3 linked regions of the Macaca mulatta genome follow. The protein of the gene in region 2 interacts with the protein of the main gene of each other region in a pairwise test. Links are inferred from orthologs where the notes say so. Each region holds a gene or a part of one and is shown on either strand. Other genes may lie near its edges.

The links.
Region 1: the proteins of STAT3 (region 2) and RPA2 interact in a two-hybrid assay, tested with the Homo sapiens proteins (2 studies listed by BioGRID and IntAct, with this or other methods). The link is inferred for Macaca mulatta from reciprocal best matches to the Homo sapiens genes STAT3 and RPA2.
Region 3: the proteins of STAT3 (region 2) and BMX interact in binary tests that used the Homo sapiens proteins (3 or more experiments, as listed by UniProt). The link is inferred for Macaca mulatta from reciprocal best matches to the Homo sapiens genes STAT3 and BMX.

The regions. Positions count from the first base shown.
Region 1 is NC_133406.1:213,041,812-213,046,376, reverse strand, and holds part of RPA2 (replication protein A 32 kDa subunit), read right to left. Parts: intron 4,221-4,565; coding exon 4,104-4,220; coding exon of another isoform or gene 4,100-4,103; intron 1,537-4,099; coding exon 1,429-1,536; intron 1,246-1,428; coding exon 1,151-1,245; intron 1-1,150. UniProt on the Homo sapiens protein: As part of the heterotrimeric replication protein A complex (RPA/RP-A), binds and stabilizes single-stranded DNA intermediates that form during DNA replication or upon DNA stress.
Region 2 is NC_133421.1:66,738,960-66,745,053, forward strand, and holds the start of STAT3 (signal transducer and activator of transcription 3), read right to left. Parts: upstream 3,425-6,094; 5' UTR 3,258-3,424; exon of another isoform or gene 482-3,257; intron 1-481. UniProt on the Homo sapiens protein: Signal transducer and transcription activator that mediates cellular responses to interleukins, KITLG/SCF, LEP and other growth factors. Once activated, recruits coactivators, such as NCOA1 or MED1, to the promoter region of the target gene.
Region 3 is NC_133426.1:15,175,348-15,180,932, forward strand, and holds part of BMX (cytoplasmic tyrosine-protein kinase BMX), read left to right. Parts: intron 1-955; exon of another isoform or gene 956-1,072; intron 1,073-2,009; coding exon 2,010-2,156; intron 2,157-2,993; coding exon 2,994-3,098; intron 3,099-5,101; coding exon 5,102-5,183; intron 5,184-5,585. UniProt on the Homo sapiens protein: Non-receptor tyrosine kinase that plays central but diverse modulatory roles in various signaling processes involved in the regulation of actin reorganization, cell migration, cell proliferation and survival, cell adhesion, and apoptosis.

The sequences.
Region 1 (4,565 bases), on a different chromosome or scaffold from region 2:
GAGATAGGAATTATTATCCTTATTTTACAGGACAGGAAATGGAATTAGTCCTGAGTATTCCTTTTCTATCTAGGCCTGGCAGGTCAACTGATTTATAGTAACAAATAACTATCACAAGCACCATCACCATAAGTCAGTGTGTTTGACTGGTTTACTACACTGGAATCAGGAGGCTGCTTGTCTAAGATGGAATCAGGATAAGGGTGTTGGAAGGACTGGTTGTTTAATAAGGTCCAGATAGTCTAATACACTCATGTCCACAATGGGGACAGTAACAGCAACAGGACTGTACACCTGAGGACCAGGAGCTAAGGACTTCCCTCCTCCAGTCTAAATCCCATAAGGAAATCAGGTCAACTTTTTGCTCAGAATTATTATATATCCCTTACATATAATGGTCCTTAGTGTCTGCTGAATGAAAAAATTTGCTGAATAAGTGATGTGATGGGTAGCACCATTTTGGTGCATAGTCTTTTTCCTGTTTTTCCATAGCTGAACAATTTCCATTCTGCCACCAGGGTTGTAGTTAAGTTGTTTTTGTGTGACAGTCTCATTCTGTCATTCAGGATGGAGTGCAGTGGCACAATGATGGCTCACTGCAGCCTCGACTTTCTGGGCTCAAGTGATCCTCCCACCTCAGCCTCCTGGGTAGCTGGGACTACAGGCATGCGCCACTGTGCCCGGCTAATTTGTTTTTATTGTTTTTGTAGAGACAAGGTTTTGCCACGTTGCCCAGGCTGGTCTTGAACTCCTGAGTTCAAGCAATCTGCCCATCTCAGCCTCCCAAAGTGCTGGAACTATAGGCATGAGCTAGTGCCTGGCGAACTTTTACTTTTTTTTGAGATGGAATCTCACTCTGTCACCCAGGCTGGAGCGCAGCAGTGCGATCATTGAGGCCACCACGCCTGGCTAATTTTTGTATTTTTAGTAGAGACAGGGTTTTCACCATGTTGGCCAGGCTGGTCTCAAACTGCTGACTTCAGGTGATCCACCCGCCTCGGCCTCCCAAAGTGCTGAGATTACGGGCGTGAGCTACCATGCCCGGCCGCCAAGTTTTACTTTTAAAACTCACTTCTCACTATCAGGAAACCCTTGTGAGGTGAAACAGGTACAATTCCAGAGCCTAAGCTCATGAAAATCAAATACTTACTTGATTGAAGATACAGACATGTGTTTCAGCTGGTTCTTGAGATCCTGAAAGTTCAACCCTTCAGGTCTTGGACAAGCCTTAATCAAATTCAACACCTGAAGATTCAAATCAGAAAGATTTTCGCAATTATTTTGGATCAGCCACCCCTTTGCAAACCTGAGTCCCTTTATAGGAAAGAAATAAACCAGGTATTCAAACAATCTTAGCTCATCAAGGAAATAACAAAATTTAAGACTGTCTGTGTTTTGTATTTCTGAAGCCACTCTGGTGGAGTTTACCTGGTTTTGGGCCACAGTGAGGCCATTTGCTGGCAGGAAGCTATTCCCACCGAAGTTCCCTGCTTCACTCATTCCTGGATTGCTGATAGGTGCTCTCCCTGCTGAGGGCTGAATTAAGAAATAAGTTAACAATATTAGAAAATCCATCAAGTTAAACAGTCTTTACAACTTCAAATAGCTCGTTAAGCAGCTTACAAAAAACAATTTATAAACAGTTTCCCAGTAACACTGCTTACATTGGAATGGACAGCTATTATCTAAAGAGTATTTCATAGGAAGATAAACTCCCCGAAGCACATAAATATCAAAAAGAGACAGATCCTCTTGGCTCCTTTTGTTTCTGATGTGAGAGGAACCAGAGAAGAGTAGCAGTGAGAAGAAAATTACCCAGAGTCTGCTATTTTGGTATCCATGTGGCCCAATCACTCAAGCATTCACTGAGTGTCTATAGGCATGAAGCACCACAGGCAGAGAAAAGGAGACACAGTCCCTATCGTCCTCTCTCTTTCCTTTTTTTAATACAAATTCTTAAAATGCTCTGCAATCACTATTTTCATTTCCTTTCTCCCCAGTCACTCCTCAGCCCACCATATTTGGGTTCTCCCCAAGTACACCTCTGAAACTGTTTTCACCAAAGTCACCAAAGACTCTTCAACCAATTATCAAAGTCTCTTTCAGTCCTCCTAATACTTGACCTCTCAGAAGCAGACACTGCTGACCACACTCCTCTTGAAATGTGTTCCTCCCTGGGCTTCTTGACACCACATTCTTCTGCTTCTTCATCTGACTCTCAAACTGAACCTTCTCAGTATCCCTCATTAGCCTCTTCTATCTGTCTCCCAAAAGGCTGACAGAGTCCCCAGGATTTCATCCCAGACTGCCTCCTAGGCCACAAATCCTCACTGCCAGCCGGATTGCTAACTGGACGCCAACACGGTGAAACCCCGTCTCTACTAAAACTACAAAAATTAGCTGGGTGTGGTAGTGCGCACCTGTAATCCCAGATACTGGGGAGGCTGAGACAGGAGAATCGCTTGAACCCGAGAAGCGGAGGCAGCAGTGAGCTGAGATCACGTCATTGCACTCCAGCCTGGGTGACAGAATGAGACTGTCTCAAAAAAAAAAAAAAAAAAAAAGGCTGGGCGCAGTGATGAGTCACTTTGGGAGGCTGAGGCGGGCAGATCACGAGGTCAGGAGATTGAGATCATCCTGGCTAACACGGTGAAACCCCTTCTCTACTAAAAATACAAAAATTAGCCAAGCACGGTGGTGGACGCCTGTGGTCCCAGCTACTCGGGAGGTTGAGGCAGGAGAATGGCATGAACCCGGGAGGTGGAGCTTGCAGTGAGCTGAGATTGCGCTACTGCACTCCAGCCTGGGCGAAAGAGTGAGACTCCATCTCAAAAAAAACAAAAACAAAAACAAAAAAACCGCCAAATAAACAAAATTTTAAAAATTTGAATAAAGGCAATCCTTACTATGGCCTCCAAAGCCCCACATAATCTGGGCCCTGCCTCCTTGTCTACAACCCTCTCCCTCTCCCGTCATTTGCTTCACTCCAGACTCTGGCCTTGCTGGTTTCAGAGATGTCACGCTTACTCCACACTCCTGCTTCTTGCACTTCCTAGTCCCTCTGGTTTGGAATGTTCTTCCCCATCTAAAATTGTACCATTCTTGGTTCCCTCCATCACCCTCTTCTCCTATTTTGCTTTATTTACTTCAGAGCACCTATATAACTACCTAAAATTATATATATTTTTTGTTTATTGCTTCTTTCTCCCAAGAATATAAGTATATCGTGTTCACTGCTAAACTCGAATGGGGACTAGAATGATTGGGACTATCAAATCAAAGTAGGCGCAATAAATATTTTTCTTTTTCTTTCTTTATTTTTTTTGAGACAAAGTTGCTCTGTTGCCTAGGCTGCAGTGAGTAGCACAATCACAGCTCAATGCAGCCTTGACCTCCTGGGCTTAAGTGATCTCCCAAACTCAGCCTCCCAAGTAGCCCATCGAATTCTTTAATTTTTTTTCTAGAGACAGGGTCTCCCTATGTTACCCAGGGTGGTGTCTCGAACTGGGCTCAAGTGATGCCCCCATACCATCCTCCCAAAGTGCTAGGATTTCAGGCCATGAACCACCACACCTGGCCCTGAGGGCTTTCTAATACTAGAGTCAACAAACCTTTTGTGTGGTCCTAGATGGACTTGCCAAAGTCAATTCACACAATGGAAAATACTATGGAGAAATTTCAATACGAATCAATAAATATAATTTCAGGGAAAAAATATAATAGTACATAATTTTTCCTACTTAGCCAGTAAGTTGGAAGGAAGACAGTAAAATGCTGTCCTGAAGGGGGCTACTCTCTGAATATGCACTGACAATCCTTGGAGCTAAGAGCTCAGCCTATAATTACATGTCTACACCTAAGGGTTGTCACAGGCCCCAGCTGTCCAGGCCAGTGTCAGAGGAACTCTTAATTCTGAGAGAAACATCAGTGTTTCATCTGAAATAAAATACGGTGACAAAGCTAATGGAGAAAGTGTTCTGAGGACTTAGTGATATCTTTCTCTGGCTAGGCCTTCAAAATGTCAAGGAAATCAAAGCTGGAACACAAAAGTAACCTGTGTTCTTCCAGGGAAGAGAAAAAGCTAGGAAAGTGAGGCTACTCACCTGGCTGTTGGCTTTGCTTAGTACCATGTGTGCATTGATCACTTCCAGAATATGTGTGGTGAACTCATTCATATCCTCCAGGGGCATGATTTTAAAGGCTACCAGGCTCTTTTTGTTCTATCAAAATGAAGAAAAAAATGTGAATAAAATATGAACATACATTAATTTCAGGTCAACAATGTGGCTCTTTTCTTGGTTATAATATTAATATTTTGCCAATATGAGAGAAATGTTATATACTCTCAGAAGTAATCCAAACATGGTCAAACATGAGAAAAACACTAAAATTAATAGCTAAGGGACATTAATAATTTTCCCAAGGTTGCATAACGGAGCAAAATCTAGACTCCTGACTCCGAATCTAGTGTTCTCCTTTCTCCAACTAATGAACGCCACAGATGGCAATTGTAGGAGATTCTGTTCTTTCTTTACTATTCTGTCAATTTCATGTTAAGGTAAAAA
Region 2 (6,094 bases):
TGTTCTACATCTGTACTGTATATTCTTTTATGTAGAACAGCTACCTTGTTAGCGCAACAGTAAAGTCTCACCATCTCTTTGCTGACAAGATGTTACACTGGATGGTTAAAACATTTATCAGCTCCCCGAGTAGATTGAAATTTCTGTGAACAAGATACAACTTATTCTTCATAGCAACTCTGACAACGTTGCAAAAGGTATATATTTGTTGGCCAGGCAAGGTGGCTCATGCCTGTAATCCCAGCACTTTGGGAGGCTGAGGTGGGCAGATCTCTTGAGGACAGAAGTTTGAGACCAGCCTAGTCAACATAGTGAAACCCCATCTCTATTAAAAATACAAAAAGTAAGCTAGCTGGGCGTAGTGGCGGGCACCTGTAATCCCAGCTATCCAGGAGGCTGAGGTGCAAGAATCACTTGAACCTGGGAGAAGGAGGTTACAGCGAGCCAAGATCATACCACTGCACTCCAGCCTGGGTGACAGAGTGCAACTCCAACTCAAAAAAAAAAAAAAAGTATATATTTATTGATTTGCACATCACCTAAGAAAACCATAAGCTAAAAAGGTGTCTGGAAAGTTGGTCACCACCTCTACGCCATCTCACATCTGAATGTCAAGAGACACGTAGAGGCAGGGTGGTTAAAGCAACTTTCTAGAGACAGAAATGACCACTGATCAAGCCACAATGCACTCTGGTTTAAATGACATTTAGGTCATGACTGTCCTTAATCTAAAACAAACCACGATTAGTATTTCTTTTCATTAGTAAATAGCTGAATTCTGATGGTAAATTATGCTGACCAAAAACAGTTCCTCACTTCCCAAGTTAGACATAGCAATTAGGTAGAAAAATAATCTAAGCAAGCTCCATTTGTATTTCTTTTTTCACGTGTTTATTGAATATTTACCTCCCATAAAGTCTTTCAGCCTGTTGGTGGTATTTTACTGTTCAGATATATGTTAGAATTTCACTGATACTGGGTGCGGTGGCTCACACCTGTAATCCTAGCACTTCGGGAGACAGAGGCGGGCGGCTCACGAGGTCAGGAGTTCAAGACCAGCCTAGCCAATATGGTAAAACCCTGGTCTCTACTAAAAATACAAAAATTAGCCGGGCGTGGTGGTGCGCAACTGTAGTCCCAGCTACTTGGGAGGCTGAGGCAGGAGAATCACTTGAACCCAGGAGGCAGAGGTTACAGTGAGCCAAGATTGCGCCACTGCACTCCAGCCTAGGCAACAGAGCAAGACTCCGTCTCAAAAAAAAAAAAAAAAAGAATTTCACTGATACTTTTCACAAAATATACAGAAGGCGGCACAAATTCCACCACTATGGCACTCTGCCGCCTTGGGCAAGTGTCTTGATCCTTTGGCCTCAATTTTCTTATCTACAATATTAGAGGAATTGTTATGTGAACTACCTACCTCACAAGTCCTTTGTGGGTCAATTCATAACTGTGCTGTGGGTATTTCTTTTTCTTTCCTTTCTTCCTCTTTTCCTTTCCTTTCTTTCTTAGAGACGGGTTCTCATTATGTTGCCTAGACTAGACTCTAGACCCAATTCCTGGCCTCTCACCATGTTGCCCAGACCAGACTCAACTCCTGGACTCAAGGAATCCTCCGGCCTCAGCTTTCAAGTAACTGGGATCAGAGGTGTGCACCACCATGCCTGGCACTGTGGATATTTTTAAGTGATTATTCTTCCCAAATGAACTACATAAAAAACAAAAGATTCATGAATTTACTAATGGTTCTTTGTGATGGATGTGCTAATACAGAGACTAAAATCAAGGCTCCAACCTCTAAAACATTTTTTTTTTTTAATTCCAGACTTGTTTCCCCATCCCACTGTGCAAACTGAACAAAAACTGGGCTAGCACTCCCGTCTGGAACATGTAATAAGGAAATAAATGTGCTGACTCAGAGAACACAGACATATTTAATATAAAATAAAATAGAAAACTGGCTGAATCAAGTCATAGCACAGTCTAAATCCACATATAAAAGATTGAGATGATTTTCTGCTTTGCTTTATTCAAGCCCAATGCTTTATCAGCACAGCCAGCCAAAAATTTACAACCCATGCACAGACTACGTAAACCTTTAGTTGCACATACAGTAAGACCAGCAGGTACACACTATACACATTTTTAACAAAAAACAATGACTAACCACTGATTTTGTCACCACACTTACAACGACCTGATATGGCACAGGGTGATGTGTATCAAACATGGAAATACCAACTTGGGCGACGGTTTGAATCTTGTTAACTTCAGTGCAACCACACCCCCCTAAATGCAGGTAAACTTAGCACACATGGTTTTGTCAAGGCCAGCCTGTCTTTGTTTCCCTCTCCTCTGCATTTACCCAAGATCTTGGCTCTGAGACACAGAACTCCCACTCTCGATTGGTTCATTCCGTCCTATGCAATTAAGCAACACCACAATCCAGTAAACGCAATGGCTCAATTATTTATCTTCTGGCCGACTTTACCAGGTATTTGGAAAAGAACATTGCCAAGAGATTTATTTCTCTCTCTAGAGCTGGCTTGACGGGTTGACGGGGATTTTGTCTTTTTTTCCCCTCTTTTTTACATGGCGGGGGCGTGAGGGGAGCATAGTTTAACCTAGAAAAAGATGGGAGGGAATTTAGAAAGAGTACCGGTCTGTCAATTTCCCTACAGGAAACTTGATTCTTATGCAATAAAGCCTACCCGCGACCAGCCAGCCCGTGAGGCTGCAGGGGACAGACACACCTATTCCTGCCTCCAGAAGGGCACAGCTGGCTCCTGAAGAAGCGGGAACAGGGCAAGCGGAGGAAGTGGCTCAGAGGGAGCCGCCGGCCAGGCGGGGAGGAGGCGCTTTCCGACCCCCACCCGCGCCGGTGATCCCCGCCGGCGTGACAGTCGCTCCGGCGGCCGGAACGTCCCCAGGGCTCCAGGGAGCAGGAAATCGGGGGACTGTCCCTCACTCCTGCCGCCGCAGCCGAGTGCGCCCTCGCCCCACGGTGCCCCCTCGGGCGCGTTCTCACTGTTTCTCCGAAGAACGAAACTTCCCTCCAGCGCCCCGAGTCCCTTCCGAGGCCCGCTCCTGTCATCCCGAAGAGTCTTCCCTCAGGGCGACCCTCCGCGTCTCCTCATCTCTCCCCGCCCCACTGCAGCGTCCATCACAAAATCCCCAAGGTCCCAGAGGCCCCCAACCGCGGCGGCGCCCCCAGGTCCCCAGGCCTCCCCGACGGCCCCACCCTGCACCCCCTTCACCTGTTTCTCCAGCAGAGGCCGAGAGGCCGGGGCTGCGCGTGCGCCGGGGGCGGGCGACGGGGCTCCCTCAGGCCGGAGGGCTTATCCGAGCCGAGGGGGAGAGACAGCGCCGAGCCGGGGTGCCTGTCCAGGATCCGGTTGGGGCTTGTTCCCTCGGCTGCTACGTCGGAACCCCCGGCTCCCCCTCCCGGTCTACGCCGCCGCAGCTCCGGAAACCGCTGAATTACAGCCCCTTCAGCCAATCCCCGCCCAGCCCCAGCCTGGCCGGGGCACGCCGTCATGCATAATTCATGAACGGCCATTTCGCTCGGCCACCCAGAGGTCCCAGTGCGTGTGCGGTACCGACAAAGCCCCGCCCACTGACCAATGAAGAGAGCAGCTAGGAGAAAGGGCGGAGCCAAGAGAAGACTGATACGCCCCTGTGCTGGCTGTTCCGACAGTTCGGTGCTCCTCCCTCCGCCACAGCGAGGGAAGAGCCGAGGACTTGGGCACAGAAGCCCGGGGGGAGGGAGGGAAGATGACCGGAATGTCCTGCTGAAAACTCAGCTGAGTTCCTGGCAGTGCGTGACGTCAAGGCACTTTAAATGCCCCTGATACAGCTCCCTCCTGTCCGCTCTCCCTTTTCCCGGCCCTTGGCACCACGTGGTGGCGAGATTGAGAGCCTCTTACCACGTGGGAATCAGCCAGTTAGACAGTCCCCAGGTATCTCCAGATCCTCTGGGGACCCAACACCTGAATTGGGTTCTGGGGACAACAAAAAGAACATGAGTGACTCCGCCTGCTTTGAACTTCAGTTTCTGCGTGAACAGGGACACACACACCCGGAAACATGACGTGGAAATAGAGTAAATACTAGAGTGCGTGGGGAGAAATAGTAGATTTAACCCCGTCCTCCGTTCCATCACTTCAAGCATCAAACTCCGAGCAGCTAGCCCATTGGCCGGTACAGGCGAATGCAGAAGACGGTGTATACGAAAGTTGATACGTGTAGGGCTTGACATTTTTATGCGTCTGAATTGAAATACATGAAATGTTCCGCCTTTTTCGTTTCCACCTTGCCTACTTGGTATGCAAGTTTTGCTGAATTGAAGCCAGTGGTTCATAGGAAATGTAGACATTTTGCCTTTCATAATAGAGGATGAATTTTGCATAATGGAGTGATTTCTGTGTATGTGCTGATACTATCAGGGTTTTTAATTTTTATTTTTTTAGGGTCTTTAAAAATATGTTATTAATATTTGTGTTTGTTTAATACGAACCGGTATAAAGACAAAAATCTATAAAGGACCCATTATCTCACTGCTCAGATAACCCCTGACATTTTTTTTTTCAATGAAACTAATACATGTTCCTGTTTAGAAAATGCAGACCGTTCAGAAAGGTAAAAAATTTTAAATGAAAATCTTTCCCTACCCCCATCATTCCTTCTCCCCAGGGATAGCTATTCTTATTAATTTGTAGTGAGAAAAATCAATGACTCTTAACCTTTGAAGGGAGTCACAGATCCTTCTGAGTGTTTGAAGGAGACTAGATTCTAGCCCCAGAAACAGCACAAGCTTTCACTCACATGGTTCTCCAGATACCTGAAACCCGTCTAACGTCTACAGATTCAGACCATTCATACCACCTCATATCCAACGAGGGACAGAGGCACCTACAGGGCAATTCATAGGGTCACTGGTGCTGGGAATTGAGAACCTCCTATTGCCCTCTGGTAGACACAGCCCAATGTGGAAATTGCTGTATTTAACCTGTAGAGTGTGTGTGTATTGATTAGACTGTTTATCTACACCACAGGACAGATATCCCTCATCTCCACCTATATTCTCTTGTAACTGCGCTATCCCATGCCATTAACTTCCTCCCTGATAACACAGGGTCTAGGACTTGTTTAGTGATTTACTGCTTACAAAGCACTTACACACCTTATACACTCCCTGCCTCGTTTCTTTCTCACAATCATGAGTAGCAGATAGGAGAGGCCATATTATCCGCTGATAGAAAACTAAAGCAAACATAATATGACATTTTCAAGATCACAGAGATATTCAGAAATATACCAGGTTTTGGGGCTTTATGTCCCATAGCTTTGTTCCATTCATTCAAACCCTGCCCTGACTTCTCAGGAGCTGGCCTCTGTTTCCCTCATTGGCCTCCCCACCAGTAACACATAAAATCTACCTCTGAGACTATCGGTTTGACCTGCAAAAATTCTCTTCAACCCAGACACTGGCCTTTCTCCATGTCCCGCCAAATTCCTCTTGGCTAAATGCTGCAGTTTCTGTCCCTTGGGCCTCTGCCTTAATCACCTGATAATTCTCTCCTTACTCTATCCTATTCTTCCACTGGCTGCCAGAGACATCATCCTAAAAATTAAATAAATAAATATATATTCAGGCCAAGTTGGGCGGATCACAAGATCAGGAGTTCGAGACCAGCCTGGCCAACACAGTGAAACCCCGTCTCTACTAAAAATACAAAAATTAGGCTGGGCACTGTGGCTCACGCCTATAATCCCAACACTTTAGGAAGCTGAGACGGGCAGATCACCTGAGGTCAGGAGTTCGAGACCAGCCTGACTAATATGATGAAACCCTATCTTTACTAAAAATACAAAAATTAGCTAGTCATGGTGGCTTGCACCTATAATCCCTGCTACTTGGAAGGCTGAGGCAAGAGAATCGCTTGAACCCAGGAGGTGAAGGTTGCAGTGAGCCGAGATCGCGCCATTGCATTCCAGCCTGGGCAACAAGAGCAAAACTCCATCTCAAAACAAAACAAAACAAAAGCAAAAATTAGCCAGCCATGGTGGCACGCACCTGTAGTCCCAGCTACTC
Region 3 (5,585 bases), on a different chromosome or scaffold from region 2:
CTAAAAAAATTAAAAAGTAAATTTTCTATTCAACTAATCAGATCCATTTAATTAGCACTCTGCTTTGAGGAATGATATTTCAGCTGTGGATATAAAAAATTGGCAAGAGTTTTCACAGCTTTCTCCTTCTGCCTCATTAGTAAAATATAGAAATATAAAAGGCAAAAGTACCCTACGACTATATGCAGTGTGATATTGCCTCCCCAAAGGAGGCTTTCACTCAAAAAAAGTAGACCCTCATGGTTTCTATAAGTCTCCGAACAAATTCTCTTCTGGCCACAGACTTTGGGTGTAGAAAATAAACTTACCGGGGCAGGTGGATATGTAGAGTTCACAATGGAAGCAGAGATAAAAGGAAGGCATGCTACCTACCTCCATAGGCTCTACTATACCCTGATCTCTGCCCTGTCTTTGATCACTGGACAAAGAAACCAGTGACCATTGCAAATAGCACCCATTGTACTCAGAAGAAACCCATTCTACTTTTGTGAAAGAATTATCCTTTTTAAATAGCTAAAAAAATATCCCAAGCAAAAAGTAACCAAGACTTTATTATATTGAATGGATAAGGTTTCCACTACTTCTGTCTAAAAATCAAATAATGCCCTTGGAGGACAGTTTAGGAATTAATAAATAATCTTTTGTTCTATGTAGTAAATAATAAAAGCTGGTTTTCTTAATTCCACTTTGAGAGTTGTGTGGTCTATGTTAGGAGGAAAGCAGGCTGGAGTCAACCATGGTTTATTCAATGCCAGGCTGTATTTCTTAGTCTCCCTTTCATTTCACTCTTCGCCATAGTGGGTCCATCATACTCCCAGGCCAGTGAGAAGTGCCCTCTAGTGACTGGATGGGTTCACTTGGCACCCGCCTCCATGCAGACAGAGCAATGCCTGTGTGGGTGCTTCCTGATCAAGACTGATAAGTGGAATGCAAATATCTTCTTTTGAATGCATGACCCTGGCATAGCCAGAGGGAATATGAGTGATGGTGCCTCAAAGCAGTAACTTTCTGCTTAGAGCTTGAGAGTTAAAGGTAAGGACCACACGTATACTTTGGCTCTAGCGAGTCTAAGGTGAGTAAAGCCTTCAGATTATCAGTAAAGAAAGATCTTAACTATTGGGCATGTGAATTCAAATAACGATGCAATTTCGCAAAGCAAAGAAGAACATAAGGAAGTTTGTCTCTCTGGTCTACTGCTCAACATTGCTACTTTTCATGATCAGACCTGATATGAGACTGAGGGATGAAGTAACTGTCTTAGTAGAAGTAGAAAATGAATGCATTTATTTTTCAGAAATAGCTTAAGTTTTAATGTTTTACATAATTTTGGAATAAAAAGGAAGGGTCTTTTTACTTTGTAAATGTACTCATTTTTTTCAGTTCTTTTAAATCTCTTTTGATAGCATCTGTTATTGCGCCCTCATACATTTTCCTCATTTTATCTTATCTTAGGCATTCACTTTGATTTTAAATTCTCATAGATATTGAAAATTATACCTGTGTAATTTATGTTAAATATCTGGTCATGATCAGGGGCTGCAGGTGTTATTTACAATAATGTCAGTGTCTCATAGTGGTTTGGGTAATTTGGTCAAATTACTGGCCATTACTTCATAAATTGTGAGCTGTCTGGAGTTAAATTTTTTAAAGTTTTATTATATCCAATTCAATTCAACCAACACGTATAGAATGTTTAAAGAGTAAGGAGCATTTTGATAAGGTGGTCTGGAGAATGAGGCAAAGATGATGAATTTATTATCCACAGTGGGAGGAGTCAAATATATAAAGTGTTTTTTAAAAATCAGCATATTTATAAAATCCGAAGCAAAGGCAGCAGAAAAACTGTAGCTATTGTGTAATTTATTCTATAATCCTAAGTCAGTCTCATTTTTTAAAAATTAGCATTTATATTATCCCTTAATAGGAAATAGTTGAGGAAAAGATATGAAGGTTAAAGAGAACTTACCTAGATGCTGCAAATACTCATTTTAATTATTTATTTTGTTTAGGATGATAATATGGATACAAAATCTATTCTAGAAGAACTTCTTCTCAAAAGGTCACAGCAAAAGAAGAAAATGTCACCAAATAATTACAAAGAACGGCTTTTTGTTTTGACCAAAACAAACCTTTCCTACTATGAATATGACAAAATGGTGAGACATCATGTGTTCCATTGTTTTTATACTATTTATTACTTTTCCTAAGTCTCCACAACGTACTTGATCATAACGAAAGAATATCAGGTTTCTTAGCGTACACAGTGAAGATCCACTTCTATCCACTTATCACATGACCTTTTCTTAATGAAAGTATAATGAATTCAAGATAAAGGATTTTAAAACATTAGTTAACTTTACTAAGGCAAATTATAACTTTAGAACAGTGGTTCTCAACTGAGGGCATTTTTGCTCCCCAGGTGACACTGGGAAAAGACTGGAGATATTTTGGGTTGTTCCAGCTGGGGGATAGGAACAGTAAGTGTTAAAGGCATCTAGCGAGTAGAGGCCAAGAATGCAGCTAACCATCCTGCAGTGCACAGGACAGTCCTCACAACAAATAATTACCCAGCCTTAAATGGCAATAGTGCCTTAAAACAATGCTAGAAATAAGACTATTCCTGGACAGTTGAGAATTCTACTATAGTAAAAATACTGAAATACTGTCATAAGGTTGAACCAAAATGAAGATGCTTTGCAGAAGTTAAATCTTGATTTTCCTGAGTATATTAACCACATGGTAGGTGATTTGAAACACATTTCAAGATAATCAAACAAGATTATTAACCACTGGAATGTATGTGTTTGTGTCCAGACTCAAGGAATAGATTCTGTTGTCATTGGATTTTGACTATTACGGGATAATGGGAAGTGACTCTCCATTGCCCACCCCCTACCCCAATCTCCCTCTCAAGCATGACTTGAGCTTTATGCTTTTCCTTGTGCACCATGATGTATTGCATGAGGTATCTTACATTTTGTTTTTTAATTCAGAAAAGGGGCAGCAGAAAAGGATCCATCGAAATTAAGAAAATCAGATGTGTGGAGAAAGTAAATCTCGAGGAGCAGACGCCTGTGGAGAGACAGTACCCATTTCAGGTAAAGGGAAGAACAACATTACATTGGGTGGATAGTTCTTCCTTTAATTTTTCTATTGTAAACTCAATATATCCAGGGAAAATAAGGATATTTCAAAATAATCTATTCAGACAATAACAAGGCTTGGAATATTCCCACATGGGAGTTGGGCATTTTGCTAAAATTCTGTCCACAATCTGCCTTCTCTGGAGGGAAGGGAAGCAAGATAGGAGTGTAAGTCGCAGTGACCTGACCTGCCTCAGGTCTGATGATCTCTTTTAACACACATTGCTGAGTATCTCTGATGTGGTACACAGTAGTAGGCATACTATGGGGAACGAAACACTGCTCCTACCCCAAGGCACTGACAGGGAAGTGGCAAAATAAACTAATACACAGACCATTACAAAGCAGTGAGGGTGCGTGTTCAGGTGGAGGTCAGCAGAACGCATCCGTGGAGTCCCAGGATGTGGAAGCTTCATTCCTCGCTCCAAGAGGCTAGAGAGATATTCTATTGGAGGTGACACTCAAGTTGGGAAGGACAAGTAAAATTTAGCCCAGCAAATATGAGAAGGACAGTGGGACAAAAGAAGCAGCAGGTGTCAAGGTGTCAAGGCACTGATGAAATAGTATGATATGTTTAGAGAGCACTAAGTAGTCCCTATGAATAGAAAAGCCCATGCGACAGTGAAAGAGATGAGCCTGGAGAGGTGACCATGCTAAGGAGTTTTCATTTTATCCTGAAGTATTTTAAACAATGGCATGGTATGGAGTGTATGCTGACAGTACCTTTTGGAAGTGGCCTAATCTAAGTCATGCCCAACTTTTCTTATATCATAAAAAGTTACATTTCTGATCTAAAGGTAGATGGATTGTCTTTCAGATGGCCTGACTACCCTGTGCTAGTATTAGGAACCTGTGGCCAAAAATGAAATACAATAATCCAGTTGATTAACAACCCATACTTCCCATTTGGAAAAAATATTACCAGGCCAGGCACAGTGGCTCATGACTGTAATCCCAGCACTTTGGGAGGCCAAAGAGGGAGGATCACTTGAGGCTGGGAGTTCAAGACCAGCCTGGGCAACATAGTGAGAACTCATCTCTACATAAGCATTTTTTTCACGAAAAAATTACCCAATGGGGGGAAACCAGGGGAAGTCATGCTCATGGAAGATGCTGCAAACTCACCTCACAGATGCACAGGGTGCTCAAAAGATCACAGGCTTTGGAGCCCCCACAGAGTTCCTAGTCCCACCACTTATACTTGTGCAACCATAAACACATACTCAACTTCCATTTCTCATAGAGTTGAAATAAGATTAAAATATTGAAGTAGCTAGGAAAGAGCCCAGCAACTAGTAAGTGTTTAACAAATGTGTATATTTACCAACCAGAGTTGAATAAACTAGAGAAAGATCTGGAGAAGATATTGTAACCTTCAAATGTTCAAACATTTGTCTTAAGAAATAGAAATATATTCTGGGGATTCCTGGGGTGCCACATGATTAAACAGATGGAAGTAACAGGGAGACATATTTTTACTCAAAGTAAGTGTGAACTGTATAATGATCAGAATATATGCATATTGGCAGAGATGACATAGTAAAGAACATTCCATCCTTGAAGGTATTTTTAAAGATAGAGCAGTTAAACATTTTCCAGTGGGCTGTAAGGAAATCATGCACTGGGTAGGCAAATGGACCAGAACAATCCTAAGACACGTGTAATGTCTAACATATTAATGTCCATAGTCCGGGGCATCCGTGATGAGAACTCAGTGTTCACTACTACTATTGGGTGCATCATCGCTGTAATTTTCCAAAGTATAGGAGTGTCTGGGATAAAACAAACTGATAGCTGGAGGATTTTTTTAAGCAGATTTTTTTTCCATCTAATTCCAGAGCTGATGTATACTATATAAGCAAACTCAAGGTTTCTTTTGGATGACAAATAATTTGCAGGTGCACCAAAGTGAACTAAGTGCAATTATATATAAACACACCAAATATTTTCCTTTCCAGATTGTCTATAAAGATGGGCTTCTCTATGTCTATGCATCAAATGAAGAGAGCCGAAGTCAGTGGTTGAAAGCATTACAAAAAGGTAATTCAAAAAAAGAAATGTTGAAAGAGAAAGGTCAAAAAAATGTCATAAAAGAGAGTCGTTTTTTGAGGCTTGGTGGAGGAAAGATACGGCAGTAAAAAGACTCAATGCCAAAAGACAATCTACTGATTTTCCTACTAATATCAGGGAATGTGTCAGACTCATCCTCATTTTTGCATTCGCATTGTTACATAAGGAAGCCTGTGGATCGGATACTCTGTCCCGCACAGAGCCAGTATTGTGCCTTCCCAGCAGCTTAGGGGAAGCCAGGCCACCTGCTCTCCACTCAGTATGCTTGCCTTTACCAGGGGGAAAGTCTAGGTCATCATGGGGATATGTCAAGTCCTGTAGGTACCAGACTTGATGTTTATAGAAAGTTACATCTAATACTTATACTGAGCA